4 linked regions of the Arabidopsis thaliana genome follow. The protein of the gene in region 1 interacts with the protein of each later gene in a pairwise test. Each region holds a gene or a part of one and is shown in the gene's direction. Other genes may lie near its edges.

Region 1 (5,327 bases):
GCGGGGAATCGGTGACGGCGTAGGAAACAGATCTGGTGATTAACGAGGTGGACTCAGCGGCGCCTAAACGAGAGAGAGAAGGCTGGAGGATGAAGAAAGTGGATCCGATCAAGATCCCGACGAGGATAAAGAGGAGTCGTTGTTCACGAAAGAGATAGTGAAGCGATCTGGGAAGAGATCTGGGATGCTTTAAAGTTTTGGGAGAGTAAGGACTGGATTGGCTCATGGGAATGGTTTCTTCATCACGCTTCGAGCTCATTTGCTTGTGAAGCTGCTTCATCGTTCTCCGATTAAAGCTCGTCGCCGGTGAAAATGAGATCTCAGAATTGCCGGGAAGAAGAAGAGCTTTGGATCTGGATAGATTCAAACGTAAGAGCGATGGTGAATGCAAAAGTAGTTAGTTACACGGCGATTACTTGATGCAATCCTTCGCTCTCTTTTTTATTTTTATTTTGTTTTAGTTATAGAGCAAATATATATGTTTCGCTTCTAAAATCTATATGTGATTATCAGATAATCTAATTAAGTAATTTCACTAATTGTTTAATAATATATGCAATTTTTTATATATATATTCTTGAGGGGATCATTAATGTGATTTGCGTTTGATTTGTATATTATTCAATGAACATATACAAAACTTTAGGCAAATGTGGAAACAAACAAAAAAAACTCCTCGAGGCTTACAAAATATGGGCTTTTAACAATTGGATGCCCAAGTTTGGCCCCTTAATAGCCCACAAAATGTTATGCCTAGAGATATGCTCTTATGCTATTTTTTTTTTTTTTGAATGAAAACTCTCTCATGCTGTTACTCAACAGACGAGAGTAAAAATTTCTCGTACGATTTAACAAATATTAGCATTGAACGAAATCTCAAACCTGAGGGATTCAATTCCTTGATCTAGTCCTACCTGATAAATCTCAAAGTGTTAACAAAATTATGTTGGGAAACTTAGCAAAATATCCTCTACCAAACACAAAATTTCAAAACAATCTTTACATAAAGAAAGTCTTACTAAACTTAACCAGAATAATATAAACTCATTCTCTGTGTGAAAGTGTACATTCCATAAGAAATGTTATGTATTTCATTGGATAAATCATTAGTTCAACTTGATAGAGACAAGCTGATGATACTAAGTATATAGTTTTCTATTATTTCTTGACAACTCTTGTAAAAATGGGTTATCAAAAGTAAAATAATCAAGAAAACAGATATAACAGCTACACCAAACTTCCATATGCCTAAATCTAACTCATCACGTTATATAAAGTTTCCATTACATATTCCTAATGACAATTTTTGTTGTGTTTTCGTGTGTAGCTCTACAACATCAAAGCCGAACATCTGCACGTTTTTCTGCCATAATTTTCACATTCATTTCCTTTTTGTTTCACCAACTACAAAAGTACAAATCAATGATCCTTATAATTTTTTTTTTTTTTTTTTGAAATGAAATAGGCTTCACTTACGCTTTTTTATATGACGAAAATGGTGTGCATGATTAAACAAACAATTGAAAGATAACACGCCATTAGCTTCATTATGCATAATGGCATGCCTTTGTACAATCTTAGTATAGTACCATGCCAAATCCTAATTATGAGAATATCTTATGTGTTTGATATTAACTAATTGCAAAAGTTAATTAGTAACCGCTAAATAAATGTTCAAAATGTTGGATGATTTGATTTTGATACAACAAACAGTATATTCGTAGCGTGCTTTAGTTACTGTACGAAGATATTCACTGATTCAAAATAGTTGGAAATCCAATTAACCCCTAGTCAATTATTGTCTCACGCACCAAAAAACAAGTCTTAGAGCTTGTAAGTGATTATAGAAAACTCGCGGGTCGTGACTATAATAAACAAAAGGAGATTAAGAAATTCGTGACATACATACATGTGCAAGGAGAAATTCTATTCCTGACATGTTACATAAGCTATACTTATTGCAATTCCATAAACTCCGGATACATTATATACAGATGAAATAAACACGTAATTCCATGGAGTAAACTTTTCCACTTTGTAAACAAAAACCACCTAAAATAGGATTTTTTTACAGAGTACCTTAAGCCCCAAGAAAAAATACATACAATAACGGAAAAATGTGGATGGATTTGCCCAACTCCTCACCTACTCGTAACTTACAATTTATATACATACGAAAATATAAACAAAAGCTATGTACATGTAAATATGAAAAGCTACAAAACCCAGAACAACTCAAAGTTAGATACTTAGAGATCACCAAACTAATTGACAAGTTTCTCCCTCATTCTCCCATCCAAATATCCTATAAAGTCGATCAAAATTGTTCTGTGGGTAAGACCTTTAGACACATTACCTGAGGCCAAAACATTAACCAGACAATAATTCACGTGATGTCTGGTTTGTTCGGTATATTATCTCCGGCCAAACGGGTCAATGGCGATGGCCTCCCTCTGTTTTACAATATCCACAAGTCAGTGGAGCTTCAGAGATGTCACAGAGACACTGCGCGGGTGTCTGTCACACTTGCAGAACTTCTCATGAGTGTGGAAGATGAGGGGGATGACCAGAGTCGGGCTATGGATATTGCGGTTGCGTCCAATTTCTGGTCCTCGGTTCCGTCTTCTCGTGTGCCTTCTTCTTCTCCGTTTGTTCTTTCCTTCAAAGACTTGACTTACAGCGTGAAGATCAAGAAGAAGTTTAAGCCCTTTCCTTGTTGTGGGAATTCACCTTTTGATGGTAATGATATGGAGATGAATACTAAGGTGCTCCTGAATGGTATTTCTGGTGAAGCCCGGGAAGGAGAGATGATGGCTGTTCTTGGAGCGAGCGGGTCAGGGAAATCAACGCTTATCGATGCATTAGCCAATCGGATTTCAAAAGAGAGCCTACGCGGTGATATTACTTTAAATGGGGAAGTTCTTGAATCTAGCCTGCATAAAGTCATATCAGCTTATGTGATGCAAGATGATCTTCTCTTCCCGATGCTCACCGTGGAAGAGACGTTGATGTTTTCTGCTGAGTTCAGGCTTCCAAGCTCGCTTTCTAAGAAGAAAAAGAAGGCACGGGTTCAAGCTCTGATTGATCAGCTCGGCCTGAGGAACGCAGCAAAAACCGTGATCGGTGATGAGGGACACAGAGGTGTGTCTGGAGGAGAAAGGAGAAGGGTCTCAATTGGAACCGATATAATCCATGACCCGATTATTCTCTTTCTCGATGAGCCAACTTCTGGTCTTGACTCTACCAGTGCATACATGGTTGTCAAAGTGCTTCAGAGAATCGCACAAAGCGGCAGCATAGTTATCATGTCCATCCATCAGCCGAGTTACAGAATCTTGGGATTACTCGATAAGTTAATCTTCCTATCTAGGGGAAACACCGTTTACAGCGGCTCCCCGACACACCTCCCTCAGTTCTTCTCAGAATTCGGTCACCCAATTCCTGAAAACGAGAACAAGCCGGAGTTTGCACTCGATCTTATCCGTGAGCTGGAAGATTCGCCAGAAGGAACGAAATCCTTAGTCGAGTTCCACAAGCAATGGCGAGCAAAGCAAACCTCAAGCCAGAGCAGAAGAAACACCAATGTATCTCTCAAAGATGCAATCAGCGCAAGTATCTCGAGAGGTAAGCTTGTCTCCGGAGCAACAAACCTAAGATCATCATTTCAAACCTTTGCAAACCCATTCTGGACTGAAATGCTCGTAATTGGTAAACGATCTATACTAAACTCAAGAAGACAACCAGAGCTATTCGGAATCCGCCTAGGAGCTGTACTAGTCACCGGAATGATCCTAGCCACAATATTCTGGAAACTAGACAATTCACCAAGAGGTATACAAGAACGCTTAGGGTTCTTCGCATTCGCAATGTCCACAACATTCTACACATGTGCAGAAGCAATACCAGTCTTTCTACAGGAACGTTACATATTCATGAGAGAAACAGCTTACAACGCTTACCGGCGATCATCATACGTCCTCGCTCACACAATAATCTCCATCCCTGCTCTCATAATCTTATCCGCCGCATTCGCCGCCTCAACATTCTCGGCCGTAGGACTCGCCGGAGGCTCCGAGGGATTCCTCTTCTTCTTCTTCACAATCCTCACCGCGTTTTGGGCCGGAAGTTCCTTCGTGACGTTCTTATCCGGCGTAGTCTCACACGTGATGATCGGATTCACGGTGGTTGTAGCAATCCTCGCTTATTTCCTCCTCTTCTCCGGATTCTTCATCTCTAGAGATCGAATCCCACTCTACTGGATCTGGTTCCATTACCTCTCCCTAGTGAAATACCCTTACGAAGGTGTTCTACAGAACGAATTCGAAGATCCGACGAAATGCTTCGTCAGAGGGATCCAGATGTTCGACAATTCGCCGCTGGGACAAGTTCCAACCGCCGTGAAAATCAGCCTCCTGAAGAGCATGAGCGGCGTTTTGGGGATCAACGTGACGGCGGAGACTTGCGTAACGACGGGAATCGATATACTGAAACAGCAAGGAATCACGGAGATAAGCAAATGGAATTGCTTGTGGATCACTGTAGCTTGGGGATTCTTCTTTAGGGTTCTCTTCTACTTCACACTCTTGATCGGAAGCAAGAACAAGCGTCGCTGATTTACAAAACAGAAAATTATTAGAGTAACTTGACCAATGATTATGATGTACTTAATACTTATGATTAATACGAAATTGCATATGTTTGCTAAATCTTTAATGGGCTTTAGAGTTGATATAAGGCCCAATAAAAGTACTAAATTGGAAAGTGTGCAATTTTCTATTTTCTATATCGGTAATATCGACGTTTATCTCGCCGTGAAATCTAAACCGTTGATTGAAACAAATCGCTACCGTTGAATCTCGTCGGTTTCCAAGTTATAAGATAGGGGTTGAAGACTAATCGCAGTATCATCCGCGGTTCACTTCCTTCGTTTCGAAATTATTAGGGTTACTGCGTATTTGCACTCTCCTTCTTCGTCTCTCCAGGTACGAGGAAGAATCTTTGTAATTGGATCTGTTTAGGGTTACGATTTTATTGTTCTTCGCTCTCTAGATTAGGGATTTCAATTGGTTTCTCGTTTCCTCGCCGTAGATTTCCTTTATAGGTTTCCTTCTGTCTAATCTGATTAGAGATTTATATTCTCCCCTCACGAAATTTTCTTCTTTTCGCCTCTGAATGTGTTATTCAGTTTGGTTTCTTTGTTTTTGGATTTGTGTTCTGCTGAAAAATCATAGATATTCACATGGGTTCTATGTTTAGGTCTGAGGTAGTGTTTTAACTCTCTGGTCTTTTTCTTGTTTATATAATTTGAAGAGGATACTGTTATTCTT
Region 2 (4,326 bases), on another chromosome or scaffold:
TGTATGAGAGCTAAATTTGCAGCCACTTTTTTCCATTACTTGGAACAACTCACAAAACCCCTCTACAAAGCCCTGTTTAAGCACACCATCAATGAGGATTTTCCAAGCGATTTCATCATCGCAATATCCACATCGAAGCAGTTTTTCGAAAACCGAGTTGACTCTCTCTTTTTCTCCTTCTTCACACAGCTTGCAAATCAACATTTTGCAAAACTCTAGTTGTGGTGAATGACCATTACATATCATATCTTCCACAACTTTTGCAGCTTCCTCATACTTTTGCAGCTTGTAGTAACATCTAAGAAGACCATTACAAATCTTCTCACTTAACGATATTCCTCATACTGTACGCTGGTTTGGAACCAATCCACTTTCTTCCATCAAACTAAGCAATCTATATGCACTATCTAAATTACCAGAGCTACACTGTCCAGCGATCAATGTATTATAAGTTATCAAGTCTGGAACCAAATTCTGCTCTAGCATCTTACTAAGCAGTCCCATTGCTTTGTGCACATTCTTCTTACAAAAACCTTTGATCAATGCATTGTATGTAATAACATTTGGCATCAACCCATTCTCCAACATATGTTCTAGCAATCCACTTGCTTCATCAAGTGTATCTCCACTACAAAAACTCTGAATAAGCACAGTATACATACAATCATCAGGCTTAATGCCACTCTCTGACATCTGCTTAAACAAATTCATAGCTTCTGACTTCTGTCCTGATCCACACAAAGCATCTATAAGCACTGTGTATGTTCGAACATTAGGACAACAATTGTCATCTTTCATTTTCACCAATAAGCTCAAAGCTTCATCGATCTTCTTTGCTTCAAATAGACCATATATAAGCTGAGTGTAAGAAACCTCATTTCTATGGCAACCGTTCTGAGTCATCTCCTTAAAAACCTTAAAAGCCGCATCGACTTCTTTTCTTCGACAATGTCCGGTAATAAAAGAAGTATATGTGAAATAATCAGGATCACATCCAGCTTGAATAAGCCAAGTCACATACTGCTTTGCTTCTACTACATATCCAAGCTTACAATACCCATTAACCAATGTGTTAAACGTGTATATGTCTGGAGAAACCAAATCCTCCAACATTTCAGTATAAAGTCTCTTCATTTCTTCGACTAATCCAAATCTAGCTAATGAACTCAACAGATTATTGTAGCATTTAGGAGTAAGTTTATATTTAATCTCGAAGCTATCACCTTTACGCATTGTCCTACAGAAATCAACAACAAACAAAGCGTCTCGCACTGAATTGCAGCTCTTTATCATTAAGATCGTGATCTTAGGCACCTCATAAGGTATTTCCTGGCTGCAGAGAAGAGTAACCAAAGACGCGTATGAAGTAACGTTGTGCTTGAAGTTTGGTATCCGAGAGATCCAATCCGAGAAACTGAGAGCTGTCTGAGGATCAAGATTGAGTGAAAACAGAGAAGAGACATGAGAAGGTGTATAGAAGGGGTAAGAGATTTTAGAGATGGATTGTTCTGCCAATTTGGTTCGGAGACAATTGAGAGTAATCGGCATGGAAGATTAGAGGGGTTAGACTCTGCTGTTGAGATAGTACTTGTAACTTTGTAAGCAGAGATGCGGCGGTGGATAATGGCCTTCGACGGAGAAGGTAGCCGGAAGAAGTAGAAGGAGATTTGGAAGTAGTAATCTCATCGTCGGTTGATTCGACGGTAAGTTGTACTTCCAGTTCAAGCAACAGTAGGGTTTAGGGTTTATGAATCAGTGAATGCAAGCAAAACCTCAAACCCGGTACAATGCTACGTTTGGTATTCTGCATTGGTTTATTAATTAAACCCAAACTCAAGTGGCATGTACAATACTACGTCAGTTGTTTGTATAAAACGACAGCGTTTGAAACCGCGACTGGTCCGTCAGGGTATATATGTAATATATACGATAAACATGTATTTTATGGTCAATGCGAATTCCCAATTTTCCCATTTCTTAAAATCTCTTCTCGATCTCCTTTGTTTCCGATTTGCCGGTCTTCGAAGTGGAACTGTGGCAGTGACGAGCGTGAGGAGAAGATCTGATCTTTAGGGCTTTCAAGGTAACTCATCACATTCTTCTATCTGTTGATTTCTCGTTTTCCGACCAGTGGATCAATCGATCAGTTTTGTACGAATTCGTGTCTGATTATCTGTTACGGTCTTAATTTGATTGTTTAGTTTGGATTTAGAAGCATGGCAGGAGCTGTTGGAACATCAATGTTAGGGTCTCTTATTGTGTTTACAGTGATCCTCTCGCTTCAGGAAATTTACAGAGGAAAATTAGCTTCTTCAGAGCTGTTCACGATCCTTGGTGGATTCACAAGCTCTCTCCTCTTTTTGTTTTCTCTCACTGTAAGTTCCTTAGAATTCCTCAACTTGATCTCGTCTTCATGGAAATGCACTACCTTTACAACTCCAATGTTGATCTGTGTCGTTAAATTTGAGATCTTTTGTTTTCTTCTCGAATTCATCTACATTTGTTGTTGACAGTTTGGTTGATGCGGTTTCTTTTACTTTCAGTTCATTGGAAATTTTCAGGAATCTTCTGGCATCAAGAGTGGTTGGGGTGCAGGTATGTCCTTGCTTCTTCATGAAATCAAATTTGTTCATACGATCAAAACCATTGGGTGTCTACTCTACCCCATTTTGTCTTCCACTTCAGAAGTTTGAGGGCTTAAGAGTGGAATTTTTGAATCTTTGATGATGATGCTCTAAGTTTACTTTCTGATAACATATTACGAAAACTCTTACTTTTATGTGTTACAAATACTCTTTTAGTGAATCAGTTGTTGGAACCAAATTTTTTTCATTCTTATGTCTTTTTCTGTATCACCTATATAAGAATCACAGTGATAAATGGCTCGAATTTGTTTGCCCCCTCCTGCTTCTGCTGTGTGAAAGTGGGTATACTCATTACTCAACAAGGGTTTGCAATGTATTGAAGCCAATTTTTGTTTCCATGGCAGTCATTCTTGCAGAAATCATAGCTCTTATCGCTGCTGGCACGGTTCATCGGGTTTGTATCACAACCTGGTAAGTGGAAATTCACTAGTTCTACTTGGTATATCCATTTACCCTGTTTAATTACTTCATTCCTCTCTTGCTAAAAGCGGTGTGGTGATTGTGATGCTGTTTCTTGATCTGCCTGCAGTTTCCTGTTCTCTGCTGGGCTATTGTACGAGGTGAACAAGATCTCTGGATACATGCTATCCAAAACCGAGTCAAAGTCTAAGAGACACTGAACCTGATAATGGAATTGATACGGCTTATTATTCTGGACTTAGATTTGTTTGGCACTTGAAGATGCAAAAACACTTTCAACATCATGAATTGTGATACTTAGAAACCCTAAATTCAAAATCCACATCTTATGCTTGATGTGAGTATTAGGTCTGTTTCCTTTGCAGCTTATAATCATAGAGATAATCATTTTAGTTGTGTCTTATGTTCTTGGAGAAACTGAATTGTGTCTTTTGGCCTCGACATCGTATCATCCGCAACCAGACACATCAAATGGTTTGTATCATCTATATTTTAATATCTCATGTATCGAAACCGCAACAATTGCTGATTCCAATTTAAATTACAACTTTACCAAGGTAAATGGAGCCTGAGCCAAATGCTTAGGATCAGCTGTTGTTAGCGTACTAATCTGTGGTTCACAGGAAATCTAAGAAAGTCAATCACACAACGGCTCATTGACCAAAACGTTCATCTTCTCATTAAGGAACTTGAGCACATCTTCTCTCTCTTCTTTGATAAGCAGCTGTCTTAATCTACCAAACGTTACACCCGATGGTCGAATCCCCATCTCGATCATCTCCTCTAACAAAACACAAGCTTTCTGAGTGGTACGCTCCTCGCACAACCCATTAATAAGAACCGAGAATGTATGCATACTAGGGAACACCCCTTTCTTCCTCATGTATTTCCACACTTTATCCGCTGTCTCCATCTCTTTCTTTTCACAAAACATCTTGATCACCATCGTGTAAGTGTCTGCATCTGGTTCACACACTTTAATCATCTTCCTAAAGACATCAAAAGCTTCGTCTTTCTCCCCTCGTTCTATTAGATGGCGTAGAATGATGTTACATGACTTGGAGTTAGGCGTCACACCTTTACTCTTCATTTCTTTCAAAACCCTATACACATTCTTCATCCTATTTGCTTTGCAAAATGCACCGATCAATGAATTGAAAACTGCTACATCGGCTTTCATTCCACTTCTTTCCATCTCGAGGAAAGTATCAACCGCCTCTTCAAGCCGGTTCTCAGTTCCATAAGTATGTACAAGCACACT
Region 3 (5,509 bases), on another chromosome or scaffold:
AAACATTTGATGCTAATCTAGTTTTTCTTTGGTGACTTTTTTTCAACCAATTTGAGATGTTTTAAATGGGGATCTGACAAGTAACTATTGTACCAGGAATACGCACCATTTCCTTTTTTTGTGCTTATAAATACATATTTATTTATTTTATTTATATAATAATTTGAAAACTTAGAAATTACACTAATTTATTAATTCTTTACTTACAAACAATTGGTTTTAGTTTTTAAAATTATCCAAGGCTGATTTCACCTAATTAAAATAACCATGACTAGATTTTAACCCGCGGACAACTTATTTTTTAAATTAGTATATATAAAAGTTTGCAAATTAAATCTATTTATTTTTATTTTATAGTTTACAATTGTTATTAAATAACGTCTTACCAAACCCGTCTCGCCAAATCCGCCCCGTAAAAAAAAACCGCGGTACACCGCTAATTTAAATATATAATTAAAAGAAATATTTTACGGGATTGCAATTGTATTTTGGTTTGTCAAACAAATATTTGTTTAAAATAGTTGCCAAAATCTAGTTCAAATTTTGGAGAAAAAAGATTTATTGGATAGATAAAGAATATATTTAGGTGGGTTTTGCTCATTTTAAGGGATTGCAATTATATTTTTGTTTGTCAAACATTTTTTGTTTTAAATAGTTGCTGAATATATTTGGAATATTTTTAGTTTATTAATCAATTTATTGCTGGAAAAAAATCAATAATTAATACTCAATGGCAGCCTAGTAAATAAGTCCCAACTCTAAGATTTATTTCACAAAATGGCTGCAAAAATGTATATATAGATGATTCATTATTTCATTTTATGCGGTAGGAGTAAAAACAACATTAACTAGCAAAAACTATAATACACACACAACAGTAACTACTCATCGAGTATGGCATTCATGGATACGAATCAAATCTCAAATCGTATAAGCCTGGCCATTATTTTATTTTACAATATTTGATAATGTGCTACCTAAATATCAAAATTTTAGAATATTCTGAAATAAAATGTCGAATTTTTGTGATAGCCTTAAATTACTACATGCTCACGTATGTAAATTTTCTATTCTTTCATAGTTAATTTTCTATTAAAATGTACAATTTCCAGTTTGATGGTATGAAGATCAACAAAGTACCATAAAAATGTATAATTTCTATTTCTTCCTAATTAATATTCTTTAAAGTGTAATTTTCCAGTTCATCCTTGTTAATTTTCTTAAATAATAAAATGTAAAACTTACAAATTTCACGGACTTTATTAACAGAAATGTAAATAATTGTAAATAAATGTAAACATACTGTGTCACAAGAAGACATGACAAAAAATAAAAACAGTAGAAATAAACTTTTTTCTGGGTGCGTGTGGTAAAACAAACATGGGGACTGATCCAATGAAGTTTATCGCAATTTCTGGAATTTCAGTCGGTGTATTAATCATCATCGCACTGATAGTGGCTTATGCCTGCTATCGTGCCCGAAAGGAAGGACCAGTCAGAGGCGACGGACGACTCACACCTATTGTAATGATGATATGATATATCACCTATTTTCGATCTTTTTCTAATAATTTATTTTATGATGCAACTTTTTAGATTACTATATACTATAGAAGAGCATATTGTAATTCTATTTTACCTATATAATAATAAATAATATTTCGGCGATTTTGTCATATGCTGGAGTGTTACATTAGATGATGACTAGTAGGGTTTTTTTTTTTATGTGAAAACAACAATCGTTGTGTCATATAACGCGAAGTGACAAACAAACAATTCGAAATATTAGCAATGTTACAAAATTCGAAATATACGCAATGTTATGGTGGTGTTGACCGAAGGGTAGTTTCGTAACTTTACATCATCGCGTGGTCGTATACGCGCCGATGAGATCACAGACGGCATTAATGGGCTCCGGAAGAAGAAACAAATGATTAATTTAAGGAATAAATTACCACTAAATTCGTTTGATTATTTCCGGAAAACAATTAACTAATAAAACTATAACTAACCTTTGTTTAATTTTTTGATTTCGCGTCTTCACTGTTGTGGATTTCTTCTGAATCTTCTGAGCTCGCTTCACCTACAAGAAGACAACAAGGATCATTTTCTCTAGGTTCGTAGATTCTCTTTCTTCTTCTTCTTCGTTTGGATCTGCTTAGTGAAGAAGATAATCTTCTGAAAAATTGTTTGTTTTTTTTCTGAAAATCTGAATACGTAATGATTTGAGCTGAATCTGAGTTAGATTCACATTTATATTCTGGATTTGTGCTATTTGATGATTTATTAGATCGATCATCTTGTTTTCTTCTTTCGCCTTTAAGTATGTTTGCTCATAGTGTTGCTCTTCCAGATTCCAGATCCTGAAGAAGGTGAAATCTTATCTGTGATCCAGTGGAAGATTGAATCAAGTAACAGATTCACTTAGTTCACTTGCGTATTGCATGCCCCTGAAGATAACATTTTGAATAATGTTGATATTGAATTATCACCTATAAGCTCTGGTTCTTGTTGCTTGTATTGGTTCTGGGTATCTACTAGTGAAGAAACCATGGCTTTTGGTTCTCCTAGGAATAATTCTATATTAGCTGCGGCTGGATTTCCTCGGAAAGTGTCTACAGTTGCAATTGCTATTGGTGGTTTGGCATCATTCTTTGTTTTCGGATTGTTGCTTCGTCTTTCGTATCCGAATAGTTCTTCAGTTGGTGGCATATTTTATGGGATAGGGAATCCTGAACAAGTTCATGTCCCTTTATCTTTGAGCAACCATACTGTCAATATCCTTCAGAAGAGTAGTGACATCAATGCGTTTGATAAAAATCTGACTTCTGATTCTAGCTCTGGCTTACCTGTTGTTGTTAGCAAAAGTATACCACCTCCAGATTTCAGTAGTGATAGGAAGTTGGAGACACCTTTGACACAAGAAAAAGAGGATTTGGTTTCTTCGGATATAACTGAAAAGACTGATGTTCAATCAGGTGAACGTGAAACCAATGTTTCCAAGGCTGAAGACACTCCAAGTGCATCATCTCCTCCAGATGATGTCTCTGAAACTGCTTCAGCAGAACCAGGTACTGTTGTTATCTTTTAAACGCTTATTTCCGTAGCTTTTGTCGTATTTGGAACATTTTGAGTTATGGTAGCTTAAATTTCAATAAACAAAGACTAAGCTAGTGTGGGAATGTTATAGAACATTTAGTTTTGCATTTCTATGGAAAGGCGTAAGTTTCTGAGAAGTTTTAAAGAAATTCAGCGGCTAAACTCTTAGCTATAGACCTACTGTAATTATTCTAGCCGAGGACTGAATATAGCAGATTAGAGTAAAAACTTGGTTAGGGAGCAGATAGTGAGTGCTGGGCTTGTAAGGTGGTCTCAGCATTTTGTTTTAGGGGTTAGAGTTTCTAGGCTTTGTGGGCATTTGGTTGAGAGTTCTACCTGTTTTGGTGAATTGGAATAAGAAGAGCAGTTTCATAGATCTGTTCTTGTCAGTTTCCCTTGCTTCTCATGATTCTAGCTGTTCGATGTTTTATATTTCTGTTATGAGTTTGTCGCTTACTCAAATCTTTGATTGCTTGTAGAGTGTGATTTGTATCAAGGTAGTTGGTTTTATGATCCTGGGGGACCTCTCTACACGAACAACTCTTGCCCTGTCCTGACGCAGATGCAGAATTGCCAGGGAAATGGAAGACCTGACAAGGGATATGAGAACTGGAGATGGAAACCGTCTCAGTGTGAGCTTCCTCGGTTTGATGCCAGAAAATTTCTTGAACTTATGAAAGGCAAGACACTGGCCTTTATAGGAGATTCAGTAGCTCGTAATCAGATGGAGTCCATGTTGTGCCTTCTTTGGCAGGCAAGTAATTCAATTTAATGGTGAAAACCGGTATAAGGGATCTATTGTGTTGCTTTATTCAGCTTCAGGAGATCGTATGTATTATATTAAAGTAGGTTTCTGTTTTCAGGTTGAAACACCAGTCAATCGTGGGAGCCGAAAGATGCAGAGATGGTATTTTAAGCAATCATCAGTAATGATTGCCCGTATTTGGTCATCTTGGCTTGTTCATCAGTTCAACGAAAAATTCGATTATGCTCCTGAAGGTGTCACAAAACTAAAGCTGGATCTTCCTGATGAGCGCATAATGGAAGCTATCCCGAAATTCGACGTGGTTGTCCTCTCATCAGGGCACTGGTTTGCAAAGCAGTCTGTCTACATATTGAAAGAAGAGATCGTGGGAGGCCAATTATGGTGGCCAGACAAATCAAAACCCATGAAAGTCAATAACGTGGATGCATTTGGAATATCAGTTGAAACAATCCTTAAGTCCATGGCTACACACCCGAACTACAGCGGTTTGACCATTGTGAGAACATTCTCACCTGATCATTACGAAGGTGGTGCTTGGAACACAGGTGGATCATGCACGGGGAAAGAAGAACCCATCCTTCCAGGGAAGCTAGTGAAAAACGGATTCACAGAGATAATGCATGAGAAGCAAGCGACAGGATATAACCAAGCCGTCGATAAAGTCGCGGAGAATTTGAAGCTAAAACTAAAGCTGATGGATATCACAGAGGCATTTGGATATCGCCATGATGGTCATCCTGGTCCATTCAGAAGTCCTGACCCTAACAAGATCACTAAACGGGGACCAGACGGACGGCCTCCACCTCAGGACTGCTTGCACTGGTGCATGCCAGGACCAGTCGATACATGGAACGAAATGGTCTTGGAGCTCATAAGGAGAGACAGGAAAAGCTCATCAACTTGACTTGGTTTGAAACTCAAAGGATGAGAGAGCATATTACACGACTTATACTATTAATCTGATTCTTGGTTACTGATAAACTCAAAGATAAACTCACTTGTAGATTTGTGCTAGGCACGGTGAGTTAGGATTAGAATTTGTTCCACTATACTTGTTGGTTCGTTTGTCCTGAGATTGAAATTTAAGATTTGGGAGTTATGAGTTCAAGTTTATTCATACTAGTCGAAATTTCATAAATTATATAAACTGGGGGGGGCGCATTTGCAAAATAGCTGAGTAATAATCGCCTATCTCACTGACTCACCCAAAGCCCGACCAAAAGCTTTTGATTCCTCAAGAGTGAAAATGGCGTCGTACACAGTCTCCTTTATCCCTTTGACGCTCTCTAATCCTCGGATCTTTGTTTCGAGACAGAATGGATCTCCCTCGTCTTCTTCTCGGATTCCTCTAACGTCTTCTCTGTTAGGTAAGAAGCTTCTGGCGACACAACCGTCGCATCGCTGCTTCGTCCCCAAGCTCCGGTGCTTGACCTCGGCCAGCACGGTCTTAAACGTCCCTATTGCGTTAGTTTTTTTATCTGACAGCTCTTTTACATCTTTATCATTTCTGGGTTTTTCCTTTCACCACGGATATTGAAGCTTAGGGTGTTAAGGTTGAATTTTTCAGGCAACCGGAGAATGGTTCTTCGGATAAGATCCCAAAGTGAGTCTCACTCCAAATTACGTATAGAATTTGTAATTGTA
Region 4 (6,598 bases), 1.5 Mb from region 1:
ATCTGAATGGTAATGTTTCAGACTGAAGCCAAAATGGCATTGGCATTGTCTCTGCGTCATGTGTGTCTCATCTGCGATCTACAGTTTGATGGATAATTTGCAGAATTCTCAATCAGCATGATGCTATGTTTATGAATCATGTAAGCAGAAACGACTCCTGTTTACGTTATATCAATGTTTCCATGGGTTTTGTTAGTTAAAGATTGCCGCTGGAAGCGTGTGCGTATACTATCACTGAGAAGAAAGATGAAGACAAGCCAAAGATGATCGTAGTAGCTTAAGGAACTCAAGTGGATTCAGACATCACTTTAGAGATCGAAATAGGGTTTGAGAATTGGAAAACAGTGTGAAAATAAGCTAAAGCAGTTGCAATCTCCTCAGTTATATTCATTGCAACGTTCGATGAGATCTTCTAACAGCATCTCCCCCCTCTAGCTCTTGATATCTTATTCCTCAACTAATCGAGAAACACTTAACTTTGAAAAATAAAATGACAAAACTTGAAGACCTCACACACTCTCAGTTGATCAAAACGAAGAACACTAGCTAAGATATAAAGTCAAGCTGTCGTTGTTGAATATCCCACAAAGTCGTCCTTCCAAGAAAAAGCTCACAACAAGACTTGCGGACTAATTTCATAGTTCTTTCTACATCACCTGAAAACTAGTTAGGAAGCTAAGGCTTTCTCTGTTTTTTTTTTGTTTGTCATTGTTCCACTGGTTCTTTGCTACAATTTAGGAGACTAGAACAAAACTAAATTTTTTGTTTGGTTATACAATGCAAAAAAATATCTGCAAAATAAGTGATTTAGTCTCTAACCGAGAAAAAAGTAATTAAAAACAGAGCAATTACTAACTATAATTTCTGGTGTCATTTTGAGACTATAGTTAAAACTTACAAGCAATGTTTTACATAAATCATTTTTAAAATTATAAGTAAAAATGTTGGCGCCTCAGTATTTCAGGTTCGATTCCCATTGTTCTTTTTCAAATTGGATAATTTAGTCCACATTGACAAAAAGAAAGAAAAATCATAATATGTTTAAGGATGCGTCAAGTGTATGCATATATATTGTTGTAAAAAGAAAAAAGGTGTATGCATACGTTTCTAACATATTTTGTCTGGCAGTCAACTATTTGTTATGAATATGTACAATCACATAGAAATGATAGCATGTGGCTATGTTACGTGAATTAAGGCAAATGATCTTACGTAGGGAAAATTGTAACTAAAAACTCAACAACCCTTATTTGTTTTTTTTGTTATCTTTTCCACTTTGCTGCAAAATTTATTGGAGAATCTGAATAAAGCGGTGAGCATAGTACAGCTGAAAATAACTAGATGATGAACTTGTTCTTTAGTTTGTTTTGATTCTTCATTATATTTAAAGAAAATTTGGTTAGATAGATCAACCACTTCAACAATACTTTTGTAACTTCAAATATTTAATAACAAAAAAATTAAAAAATGTTTGAACTTTACTGAAATGAAATTTCGATATTAGAATACTAAAGAATCAAACGTGCACTTAAATATCATTTAGTTTATATTTATACAAACCATGAAAGACTCTCATACTTTACACCGCACATAAACAATCAGAACCATACCAAACCATGTGAATAGAATCACAAAGACGTCATGCTTTAATTTACAAGCAAAAAAACAAAAGGCATCGGCTAGAGAATAGCAAAAAGAGGAAGAATTGAACGGAAAAATTGAAAACATATGGAACAAAGTGGAGCACTTAAACATCCACGGTAATATTAGTATATTAGTCACCTTCAGACTAGGGCCAGACATGAACAAAGGATTCGATGTTAGTGACAAGTAGCATATCAGACTAATAAGGATATATATTAAGCGGTATGGGTAACACATTAATCCTTTCTCCAATTACATTCTCTTTAAGGTTCTAAGATCCGCCACTAGGCCATTTTATTGGTAAAAGTAAAACCATTTTGGTGGTCGTCTATGAGTGTTAAGAATTATGTAACAATTTTTTTGGATTCACCTGAAATAAATCTGTTGATTTGAAATATTTGGACGTTACATTTCCATATATAAGCTTACCATACAAACATTATAATTAATTGGAAAGTCCAGCTAGCACTTTTTACCACATGCAAAGGGAATTAATCCTAACTTAAAAAATTAGGAGTAATCACATCTTGGTAGTGTATACCGATCAATTTCCGACAGACGTTTTTTTTTTCCTTGCCCATTGATTGCATAGTTCAAAACTTCAAAGTTGGCCAATCCAACCAAGTCGAAGAGATAGGAGATGTTTTGAAGTATGAAAACAAATAGAGGGGCTAAAATCAAAATAACAAGAAAAAACGCTTCTGCCGTGTTCGAATGTGTCCTCGTGATCATCTCCGTATATAATCAATCAATCAATAAAAATCCAGAGTTACAAACACTCTTCTCAAAATTTTCCCATTAAATCGCAAAGTTAATTTTGCGATTTTTTTTCTCTTTTTTTCTGGTTGGGTTATTTATTTTCCCCTTTTAAAAAACTTCTGCAACTTGTCTTGAAATCTGGGGTAAAATATTTCTTCATTGGTTTCTGGAAATCTCGGGGAACGATTTGTTGGGTTTTCTTCTTTGTACTCTCTCCTCACATTAGCTTTTGTTGGTGGGATTTTTTGAGGATGGTGATTGCTGCAGCTGTCATCGTGCCTTTGGGCCTTCTCTTCTTCATATCTGGTCTCGCTGTCAATCTCTTTCAGGTTTGGTTTCTGATTCGTTTCTGGTGTTACTCTTTTTAGATTCCGTTGTTGTTCTACATTGTAGATCCTTTCTTCTTTTGTTTTGATTCACTGCTTTTAGGGTTTCCTTCTCCAGAAACTTTGATTCTTTCGTTTTTGTCGGTGATTGTGTCTTAATTCTGAGTGTGCATATGAGAGTATAAGCTCGAAATTGACTCGTGGAGCTCATGCACTGAGCTATAGAGTGTTGTTTGATTCTGCGATTAAGTATCACTTTCTTCAGATTTATCTTGATTTCTATGTTGATTGAATCGAGGAAGGAATCTTTTTTTCTCTCAACTTCGTTTGCTTCAGTTTTGATGTTTACTACTACATATTGTTGTTTCAGGCAGTTTGCTATGTACTCATTCGACCACTGTCTAAGAACACATACAGAAAAATTAACCGGGTGGTTGCAGAAACCTTGTGGTTGGAGCTTGTATGGATAGTTGACTGGTGGGCTGGAGTTAAGGTATCCACAAGCTTTCTCCTTTTTACTAAATGGTTGTTAAGCTTGGATTTTGTTTTATCTTATCTAACTCTATGAGTTCCTCTCAAATTTCTTGTTTCTTTTCCCTTAGATCCAAGTGTTTGCTGATAATGAGACCTTCAATCGAATGGGTAAGTTCATATGCTTATTGGCAATCAAATCAGTTTCTGATGTCTTCAAGATATAAAATTCCTATGTAAGAACGAATCTGTAACTTCATTGACTGTCCTACTATTTTTTTCTAGGCAAAGAACATGCTCTTGTCGTTTGTAATCACCGAAGTGATATTGATTGGCTTGTGGGATGGATTCTGGCTCAGGTACATAATTTCACCTCACAGTTTCATCTATCTTCCTACGTTTTTGTTTGAATGCATAAATGGAGATCAACATAATAGACTTCTTGATGAGAAAGCATGTATACTTGCAATGGGACCATGTATTGCTTCCAAGTATCTACTTAAGAAAGATTATCTTAGGTAGAAGGTGACAGTCCCTAGTGATCATCTGATGAGATATGAGAGAGTATAGCATCATCATATTTTCTCTTAACACGCTCCCTGTTATGCTGTTTACATCTTTTAATCTATTGTTTCATATTTTCTTTCCTTGCAGCGGTCAGGTTGCCTGGGAAGCGCATTAGCTGTAATGAAGAAGTCTTCCAAATTCCTTCCAGTATGTGAATATTTTAGCTTACTGCTGTGTGCTTGCTAGATTTGAGAGAAAATAGTAGTAATCTTTAATTCTATTTCTGAATCTCTTCTATAAGTTAGAAATTTGATACCTGGCTTTGCGTTTGAGAAAAAATCATTGTTTTAGGTTAATACACTTCTCCGCCTTTTTTATCTGTTACATATTCATAGTACTCATAAACAGAATTTTCACACACATACAGGTCATAGGCTGGTCAATGTGGTTCTCGGAGTATCTCTTTCTGGAAAGAAATTGGGCCAAGGATGAAAGCACTCTAAAGGTATGGGTTTATAGTATCCTTGTGCAACTCATTTAGTTTTTGCTCCTGTGTAAAATGCTTATTAGCACGTGCAGCTACCTCGTTCATGAGGGGATTAGCCTAAAAATGCAGAATCTTCATTTCCAGACCATGAGTTATGTGTGTTTGTCTAAATTTACAGTCAGGTCTTCAGCGCTTGAGCGACTTCCCTCGACCTTTCTGGTTAGCCCTTTTTGTGGAGGGAACTCGCTTTACAGAAGCCAAACTTAAAGCCGCACAAGAGTATGCAGCCTCCTCTGAATTGCCTATCCCTCGAAATGTGTTGATTCCTCGCACCAAAGTAAGTTGTAATATTTTTCTTTTGTTCATTCCTGGGGCAACTTGATATCTTCTCTGTGTCCTTTAAAAAGCAAAATGATTGCTATGATGATCCAAAATCTCAATGCATGGGTAGCCTTTATACGTTTCATTTTCATCAGATCGACTTGGTGGTTGTTATTGTGATTTCTGCCCTAATTACTAGACTTGCTTGTATTTTTGTTTCAGGGTTTCGTGTCAGCTGTTAGTAATATGCGTTCATTTGTCCCAGCAATTTATGATATGACAGTGACTATTCCAAAAACCTCTCCACCACCCACGATGCTAAGACTATTCAAAGGACAACCTTCAGTGGTAAGCAAGCAAAAATATGAATAGGTCGTATAGCAGTTGAATCTTGCACTCTTCTCACAACAAATTTCAAAGTATGCACTGGCTTGGATCACATCACCATCCAATTTACTGAAACGAACATAACTCTTTATATCACCTTTACTTTTATAATGTGTAAGAAACCGTAGGACTCATCCCATCCCAAGCCTTTTTCTTTTAAAACCTCCTGCGCCATTAACGCAAACCATTGCTGCTGGTTTCAAGGTGCATGTTCACATCAAGTGTCACTCGATGAAAGACTTACCTGAATCAGATGACGCAATTGCACAGTGGTGCAGAGATCAGTTTGTGGCTAAGGTAAAAATTATGGATGTACTGGTATTTCCACGTTTCAGTTATTGGCAATAATATATTTGGTCAAGATTTGATAGAGAAAAGCTTGGAAAAGCTTTCATTTTGGTATTCTCTCATCTCGTCTCTGTGATACAGGATGCTCTGTTAGACAAACACATAGCTGCAGACACTTTCCCCGGTCAACAAGAACAGAACATTGGCCGTCCCATAAAGTCCCTTGCGGTGAGTCTATAAAATTCATAACATTCTCTTGGTTCCATCTATAAACTCACAAATCTCTTGATCTTTTTCTCAGGTGGTTCTATCATGGGCATGCGTACTAACTCTTGGAGCAATAAAGTTCCTACACTGGGCACAACTCTTTTCTTCATGGAAAGGTATCACGATATCGGCGCTTGGTCTAGGTATCATCACTCTCTGTATGCAGATCCTGATACGCTCGTCTCAGTCAGAGCGTTCGACCCCAGCCAAAGTCGTCCCAGCCAAGCCAAAAGACAATCACCACCCAGAATCATCCTCCCAAACAGAAACGGAGAAGGAGAAGTAAAAACTGGTTCTCACAGATCCAAACATCAAACACAACAAGAAGAAGCGCGTGTCAGTTTTGTTATAAGAAACAGAAAACCAAAAAAAAAAGACATCCAAATGAAAAATCCCTTAATATTATCAACTCCGTTTTGTTCAGCTACTATATTACTACTACTACTACTACGCAGCCTATGTCTCTTAGTCGATTGATGTATAGGGTCATGATCAAATCAACGATTTAATCCCTATAGTCCCTTGGGATTTTTTTTCTCAAGTGCATAGGCCTTGTATAACTTTCTATTTTTAGATTGGAATTTGGGATTGATATTAGACATTTTCCTTTTATTATTAAACTGTTTTGTTCCTTGGTTCTCATTGCTAGTGTAGAATTTATTAGGCACAAAACATGTTATTACAAGACGTTTTAGAAGAAAAAACAGAATTTATTCATGTACATAAATTATCTGACTAGACTAATCCTACTGGGACTTAATTGTGATTAGACAAAAAAAAATTCATTTTGAGAAGAAAAAACAGAAACCCGTTCATGGAATTAACTGAGATTAGACAAATTCAACTACAGTATGACGGTGATTACAGGGAGAATATCGTAAAAGAACAGGTTTTATTTTCTTCCATTTTTGATAGAACACATTTTTTTTTTTTTAATGAGTGTATAATATAATAAACACAATTTTTATTTTAGTTTTCTCAACCCTAAAACTAAAACCCTTTCACGCCGATTCAAAAGAAAAAAAAAACCTTCACAAGTCCGGTTGCTCGCGCCGCTTTTCTCTCTGTTTTCAAACTCCGATTAAAGTCCCGACTTGTATCAATTGATAAACCCTAATTGTCTCCGTTCTTGCTGAAACAC

Evidence for each region.
Region 2: the proteins of ABCG20 (region 1) and AT1G77350 interact in a protein complementation assay, tested with the Arabidopsis thaliana proteins (one large-scale study listed by BioGRID).
Region 3: the proteins of ABCG20 (region 1) and TBL18 interact in a protein complementation assay, tested with the Arabidopsis thaliana proteins (one large-scale study listed by BioGRID).
Region 4: the proteins of ABCG20 (region 1) and LPAT2 interact in a protein complementation assay, tested with the Arabidopsis thaliana proteins (one large-scale study listed by BioGRID).

The regions. Positions count from the first base shown.
Region 1 is NC_003074.8:19,836,588-19,841,914, reverse strand, and holds ABCG20 (ABC-2 type transporter family protein), read left to right. Parts: upstream 1-1,931; 5' UTR 1,932-2,393; coding exon 2,394-4,613; 3' UTR 4,614-4,767; downstream 4,768-5,327. Other genes in the region: UXS1 (UDP-glucuronic acid decarboxylase 1), read right to left, coding at 1-280.
Region 2 is NC_003070.9:29,068,281-29,072,606, forward strand, and holds AT1G77350 (keratinocyte-associated-like protein), read left to right. Parts: upstream 1-1,944; 5' UTR 1,945-2,083; intron 2,084-2,201; 5' UTR 2,202-2,216; coding exon 2,217-2,375; intron 2,376-2,543; coding exon 2,544-2,595; intron 2,596-2,989; coding exon 2,990-3,056; intron 3,057-3,174; coding exon 3,175-3,265; 3' UTR 3,266-3,619; downstream 3,620-4,326. Other genes in the region: AT1G77340 (Pentatricopeptide repeat (PPR) superfamily protein), read right to left, coding at 340-1,548; APPR6 (Tetratricopeptide repeat (TPR)-like superfamily protein), read right to left, coding at 3,703-4,326.
Region 3 is NC_003075.7:12,967,636-12,973,144, forward strand, and holds TBL18 (TRICHOME BIREFRINGENCE-LIKE 18), read left to right. Parts: upstream 1-1,923; 5' UTR 1,924-2,116; exon of another isoform or gene 2,117-2,353; 5' UTR 2,354-2,551; coding exon 2,552-3,071; intron 3,072-3,578; coding exon 3,579-3,853; intron 3,854-3,962; coding exon 3,963-4,769; 3' UTR 4,770-5,009; downstream 5,010-5,509. Other genes in the region: AT4G25370 (Double Clp-N motif protein), read left to right, coding at 5,112-5,329, 5,433-5,468. UniProt on the Arabidopsis thaliana protein: May act as a bridging protein that binds pectin and other cell wall polysaccharides. Probably involved in maintaining esterification of pectins. May be involved in the specific O-acetylation of cell wall polymers.
Region 4 is NC_003074.8:21,347,097-21,353,694, forward strand, and holds LPAT2 (lysophosphatidyl acyltransferase 2), read left to right. Parts: upstream 1-2,286; 5' UTR 2,287-2,654; coding exon 2,655-2,732; intron 2,733-3,099; coding exon 3,100-3,222; intron 3,223-3,331; coding exon 3,332-3,371; intron 3,372-3,485; coding exon 3,486-3,559; intron 3,560-3,854; coding exon 3,855-3,914; intron 3,915-4,134; coding exon 4,135-4,212; intron 4,213-4,372; coding exon 4,373-4,531; intron 4,532-4,737; coding exon 4,738-4,863; intron 4,864-5,106; coding exon 5,107-5,199; intron 5,200-5,331; coding exon 5,332-5,418; intron 5,419-5,491; coding exon 5,492-5,743; 3' UTR 5,744-6,097; downstream 6,098-6,598. UniProt on the Arabidopsis thaliana protein: Converts lysophosphatidic acid (LPA) into phosphatidic acid by incorporating acyl moiety at the 2 position. Has preference for C-18-CoA substrates compared to C-16-CoA substrates. Required for female but not male gametophyte development.